Coturnix japonica: one gene and its partner. Each later gene encodes a partner of the first gene's protein in a complex. Links are inferred from orthologs where the notes say so. Each region holds a gene or a part of one and is shown in the gene's direction. Other genes may lie near its edges.

Evidence for each region.
Region 2: the proteins of JARID2 (region 1) and AEBP2 are in contact, whole or in part, in a cryo-EM structure (PDB 8VNZ), measured with the Homo sapiens proteins. The link is inferred for Coturnix japonica from reciprocal best matches to the Homo sapiens genes JARID2 and AEBP2. Residues at the interface, in NP_004964.2 of Homo sapiens: Ser148, Lys151, Pro152, Lys153, Thr154, Glu155, Asp156, Leu158, Thr159; in NP_001107648.1 of Homo sapiens: Arg407, Ala410, Ile411, Asn414, Leu415, Glu420, Ser421.

Annotation. Positions count from the first base shown.
Region 1 is NC_029517.1:67,710,760-67,713,546, reverse strand, and holds the end of JARID2 (protein Jumonji), read left to right. Parts: intron 1-1,127; coding exon 1,128-1,304; 3' UTR 1,305-2,180; downstream 2,181-2,787.
Region 2 is NC_029516.1:59,182,345-59,186,169, forward strand, and holds part of AEBP2 (zinc finger protein AEBP2), read left to right. Parts: intron 1-2,316; coding exon 2,317-2,524; intron 2,525-3,825. UniProt on the Homo sapiens protein: Acts as an accessory subunit for the core Polycomb repressive complex 2 (PRC2), which mediates histone H3K27 (H3K27me3) trimethylation on chromatin leading to transcriptional repression of the affected target gene.

The DNA of each region.
Region 1 (2,787 bases):
AAGCTGGCTTTGTGGTATATACACTGAGGAGTGCCAGAAGGCTCCTTGGAAATTTAAATACATTTCTCTTAATTCCTGAGCTTATTTAGGCTCTTATATCCTGGGTCTTCACAGTACTGATAACTCTATTGAGCCACTCTTAATCAGCACCACATAAAGTAATGACTGGTTTTATAATTACAAAGCAGGGATTTGGGGATTTCTTCCCCAAATGAAAAGACTCTCTCGATTTCTGCACTTCTGAAGGATACTCAGTGTAGGCCTGCTGGATGTTACATAATTTATTTTTGAGAGCTGTGAACAGGGAGAGAGAGAGCAATTCTTCACGTCAAATGCCATCTGTTAAACCTATTTAACTGTTAGCTGTGCTTTGCCCACAACCAACTTCTTAAGATTCCTGCCAGGAGGGGACATTCTCCCTTCACTCCAGACCTCACCGAGCCACTGACTGCAGCGAGAGCAGGAGTGGTGATGCAGCACAGGCACTGTGCTGTGCTGCTCAGGGACTCCTGTCTCGTTCTTACTGTATTGCCACGGACCCATAGCCCTGGGCCCTGTGTGGCACCAAGCACTAGCCTGGAGCACTTGGGGCATCCAGAGATCCTTAAAAGCAGTAACGGAAAATAGCATCCTGTAACAAATGGCAACAGTCTCAATAGGGAAAAGCAGGACCTTCTCCCTAAGTTTTAAATAAGTATTCAGTAAACAGCAGGTAGCAAGCGTTGCCACTTGCAGATTTCAGTAAGTTCATGGCATTTATGACTTTGCTCAGCAGTGGCCTTTAATCATGTCTGCAGCAAAGTTTTGGCTCTGCTGAGCTGTATCTGTGCAGCCCAGTGCTCAGCCTGGTGCAGTCCTGTCACCCATCGCTGACTCTGCACTCAGAGGCAGGAAACTACAGCAGGGGCACCATTCCAGGTATAGTGCACTGCTTCTTAGGCAGACCCCACCTGTGAAATAGTGGTCGTATGGGCTGCCGTGCAGTCAGTTAGCAAAGCAGCAGCTATTTCCCCCTGGTTATAGGTGCCGTCAACCAAAGGATGGCGCTACACCCGCTTTATCAAACAGAGGTGCTCGGAAAAAGGAAGGATGCTCACTTGTGTTTTGTTTTCCTACTTCCTGAACAGGAACAAATAATCAGTCTGGTCAATCAAATCTGTGGAAAAGTATCTGGTAAAAATGGCAGCATTGAGAACTGTATCAGCAAGCCCACACCAAAAAGAGGACCTCGGAAGAGAGCGACAGTCGACGTGCCATCATCCAGGCTTTCATCCTCCAGTTCATCCAAAAGTGCTTCAAGTTAATCCTGAAGATGCCAACACTCTCATTTTGTCAATTTATATATATTTTTTGTAATTATTATACCATAGTTTGGAGTACTTGCTGTAGAATACAAGCTGTCTTTGCACTAGCTCTAAAGAAGATTTTCTTCTGGTTTTAGAGAACTAATTTTGTTTTAGCATTAAACTGTTGGATTTCTTTTGTTTTTGTACTTAGGATAGGTAGATACAGCAGTCTGATTTTTTTAAACTGCCGTATGTTCACTGTTTTAAAAGCGGCGAGAGGGGCTGATCGATATTAATTTGTATTGACCCTGGGGCTGAGAAAATAAAGAAGCCTTTCTGGGAACTGGGGGAGGGGGTAAAAAAAACCAACAAAGGCTTTTAACCCATTTTTGACTAGGTTAAAGTTTTCTAATTTGTTCTCCGGTCACGCGAGCAGATTTTTCTAGAGCGAAAAGGGATGGGAGAGGAAAAAACAAAAACTTGAAAGAAATTGCTTTACTTTGGCTGTCTTTTATTCTGTCACAGCAAGTGGAGTTTTGTAATTTTTTAAATTGGAGGATCCACACTTACTTACTTACTTACTTTCTTTGGGAGGTTACGGCAGCTGAAGAAGGACTTTGTTTCCTAACTAACTGTAGGCAAAAGGAGGGGAGTTGGAGTATGTTCTCTTTTACCAGCACATCACTATGCATCTGTTTGGAGGGGGAAAATAATAAATAATAATAAAAAAATTTAAAAAAAAATTTAAAAAGAAAAAAGGAGGAAAAAAAAAGACTGCCTGCCTTGAGGAGTCACGTGAGGGAAAACTGTGCCTGATTTCATTAGGAAATCCATTCTGTTATTTTTTGGTGCTGTTGGCTACTTTATCAAAAAAACCCTTCAATAGCATCCTTTGGAAAGAAAAAAAACAAAACAAAACAAAAAAAAACAACAGAAAATAAAAAAAAAGTTTAAAAAAAAAAAAGTTAAAAAAAAAAAGTGATTGAAGCCATAAGTGCTTCTTTTGTCATAGACGTGCAATCTTTTGAACATTCCATTTCCATTCCACTGCTGTGTTTCACACCCTTCACACCGTTGAGCATTAATTTGTTTTGTCTGGGCTTCGTTTCACGATGCAATCACGTTTAGAGCCACTAGCAAGTCTGCGTATTTCTTTTGAATGTGAAAAAATGCATTTGCTTTCATCTTGTCTCTCTCTTTTTTTTTTTTTTTTCTCTTCGTGTTGTAACAAAAAAACAAACAAAAGAAACAAAAAAAAAAATCACCCCTTTTGTACATATGCCTGTAAATTTTTTTAAATACTTGAGCCTTTTCTTGGGGTGGGGGGAGGGGTGGCGAGGAGACGAGATGAAGAAAAGCCTTACGTTTCACTTTCTTCATCGGTTGGATTGGATGCTTACAGGGTTTTTCTTGTAACATTTATAAGTGCTGCTTACATCACTGAACAACAACAAAAAATAATAATGGAGTAGCTGTTGCCCTTTTCCGGTTGTGTGTACAG
Region 2 (3,825 bases), on another chromosome or scaffold:
TGTGCCGTGTAAAGGGTTAGTCTTTTTTATGAAATTGAAAAATAGATGATGGTTATTTGTATAATATTTAGCAAATTCATGTTTGATAGACTTCTATAAAAGCAAAAACCTGTTGACAAGGTCTAACTGGAAGTGAAGGGAGTCTGCTACCTTAACATGAAATTTCATATTGACAAACAGAGTGAAATGCCTATGGTTGAGAAGGGGTGAAATATGAACAAGCGAAATTGCAATTTTGCAATGAGGAAAGAGATGGTAGCTAGCAGTGGTTAAAGGAACAAAGGAGTATGATGAAATGAGTTCCCTAAGCCAGGTTGGATGGGGCCCTGGGCAGCCTGGCCTAGTATTAAATATGGAGGTTGGTGGTGGGGGATTTGGAGATTCACGATCCTTGAGGCCCCTTCCAACCCGGATCATTCTGTGATTCTGTGAAATTATTTTAAAGCAGAAGAGCAAATGTGCTGGTTATACCCTCAAATTTTGACTAGTGGTACAGTTTTTGTTTCATCCATGTCAAAATATGTTAAAGAATGATAGTGAGTATGGCATCAGAAATATGGAGCAACATTTCCTTTAAAGTAATGCCATTTGATTTTTATTTTTTCCATGCATTTTACTCAGAAGACTGTAAAGACACTTAGGTAAATACCACTGCCACGTACTAGACTGTACTAGAAAAGGTATATCTGTTAGGTCAACAGAAGTAATAGTTCCTCTTTACCTGGCACTTTTGAAACTGCATCTGGATTACTCTATCCATTTGGACATATGCCTCTCAGGGACATACTGGAAAGCCTCCAGTGGAGTGCCTCCAGGCTGGTTAGAAAGCTGAAGTAAATGCTGTGCTTGGAGAGGCTGAGAGGCTGGGGTTTCTTCAGTTTTAGAATAAGAATGGGAGGGTTATTGCTGTTTTATTACTGATAAGGAATGCATAGCAAAGGAAGGGCTGGAGTTGTCAACTGTAAAGTGAAGAAGATGATGGCAGACTAAAGTTGGAACACTAGAAATTCTGATGAGATGTTAGGAAATTTTTCCCTTTTTCCACAATGAGGTTAATAAGATGTTTGAGAAAACGATTTAGAATGGTAGCAGAAACTTCCCATTAAAAAGTAGAAGGTACTGGCAATCTTTTTAAGATAAAAGAGGGAAGATTTAGGTTGGATGTTAGGGGGAAGTTCTTCACTAGGAGAGTGGTTAGGTCCTGGAACAGGCTGCCCAGGGAGGTTGTGGATGCCCCGTCCTTGGAGGTGTTCAAGACCAGGTTGGACGGGGCCCTGGGCAACCTGATCTAGTAAAGGCGTATGTTTGGTGGCCCTGCCAGGCAGGGGGGTTGGAACTACATGATCCTTGAGGTCCCTTCCAAACCAGGTCACTCTGTGATTCTGTGGTCTTATTTGCTGCTGTTTGAGCAGGAAATTTGACTAATTAGCTCCCTGAGATCCTTTCAAAGATGAGCTGTCCTCTGATTCTGTGGCTTTATGGAAGACAAACGTAAAGGGTTCTAAAAGACAACGAGCTTCTTTACTAGGTTTAAAAAAAGGGCATGTCCGTAGTTATTTAATTTTTATCCAGGAACAACATCCTCCTACCTCTATAATTCTTTGTAATTCTTACATTAATATGAAATGAGCACCACAGTTTTTTTGTTTTGTTTTTTTTTTCTGGTCCAGTTTCATGCTCAGTTCTGTGTCTGTCATGATTCATAACAGACCATCTGATAAAAATGACCCTGCTGTCCATATGTTCCCAACAGTTGCTGCTAATTGCTTTACAAAAGTTTACTTCCCCAGTCCTCCCCACACCCCTTTTCCCCCCCACCCTCAAAAAAACCCACACAAAATCACCAAAAACTGCCAAACCAACAACCCCAAACAAGGTCAAATGGTTAATTTAATCTGTGTGTGTGATAGTCATACTACCAGAGCAAGGAATTAAGTGTGGGAGTCTTCAACATCCTGTAAAACGTCAGGGTCAGTTGTGAATGTAGGTGTGGATACATCTCTGGTCTGACCACACATGCTTTCCCCTCATCCCCTGAGTAAAAATGTGCCTTAGAAGTAGCTGCAACCACACAAGATTTTCTGGCAAGTTAGTGAGTGGGATAAAACTTTCCAGCTCTGTCTTTTGTTGCTGTTGTCCAGGTGTTACACAGTAGAGTGATAGTGGCTGTTGCCTGGCTGAATGCTTTATTTTAGGTGATGAATCATAATTGATAATGTTAAGATATTCTTTTTGACCTAAATGTATCTGATACAATGCCATAAAGTTAAATGGAACAAGTAAAGTGTGTAACAAACACGAACTTTCTTCTTACAGCATAAGCAGCACTATTATGGATGTAGACAGCACAATTTCCAGTGGACGTTCAACTCCGGTGATGATGAATGGACAAGGAGTTCCTGCCTCCTCTGCAAAAAGCATTGCTTATAACTGTTGTTGGGACCACTGCCACGCTTGCTTCAGCTCCAGCCCGGATTTGGCAGATCATATTCGCTCCATACATGTGGATGGTCAGCGAGGAGGGGTTGGTGTTATTTCTTTTCTTCTTTATTTACTGATATTGCACTTCTTAATGATAGTAGTAATTCTGTGTTATAAAATATCAGTGCTTTAGCCAGTGACAACTGAGATTAGGCCCTCGGCAATGTGGTATTGGGTATTCAGCTGTTGTGTTTTAAACAATTCACTCTATTTTTCCATTCTATGGTTTTGATTGAATGGCTAGCTGTAAGAAAATATGTTCTTAATAAAGTAATTGAATCTATTGAAATTTTAATAGATTTAGCAATTTCTCAGCATCCTGATATGCTGTTTTTTTAAATAGAAATACTTGGAATTAATTTTCTCGTAACTTCTAGTGTATGTGCTACTGCGTGTTAACTCAGGCTAAGTCACATCTTGTTTGTTTTTACAAATGGGAGTCTTGTTATTAATAAAATATATATGGGTAGATATAAGAAGTAAGACTGGTTGTCTTGGAAGTATGAGTCTTAGCAGAACAGTTCTGTTTGTAGTACTGGTGGCAGGTCTTACACCTTCAATGTGACTGCACCTAGTTTATTTTGTTTTTAACTGAAGTATGTATTTAAGTTTAATATCTGGTTAAGTGGTGTGGTTTTGGTAGGTCTCACAATTTTAAGGTTTTAAATAATCTCTAAGTAGTGTGATATTAACTCTGCACTTCTCCAGTTGTGTCATTGTGACTCATTGGCTGCATTTAGTTCATGTTAATTGTTATGGCTGAACTTCCAGCTTGATATTTAGTGACTTTTTTCAGTCCAAACTCCAGGCAGAATCATCTGACCAATGTGCCAGCTTCTTAGTCACCCACGAGACAGACTTTTGTAGTTCTGTTTGTGGGTTTATAAACGTGTTACGTGTATCCTGGATGAAACAATTAAGTGGATGAGATGTATCAGTATCCTGTGGGATTTCATATAAATGCATCTTTGGTGACCTTTGTCCCACCCGTGACCCCTTAGAAAGAGATTGAAAAACCTGAAAAATGTTTCATGCTTACGTTTGGTGTGATTTGTGGATATTTTTACTTAGAAAACGTCACTGTATTCATCTTTCTGAAAGAGACAGCTGTAGGTAACGCTGTGTGCCTGATTATTGTGTTCAGTTCACACTCCTTTTATTCCCCCTGGTGGAGTTGATTTATTTGTTGTAAAGTTTCTCCACTGGACGCTCTGCAGGGGAATGATGCTGGCTGTTTTCTTCCAAGGGTTGGTTCGCCATCTGCTGGTGAGGCGGTTAAGTGGTGCATCTTCTAGGGATTTTCATTGGATTTCAAAACTTAATCAACTCAATGAATATAAACGT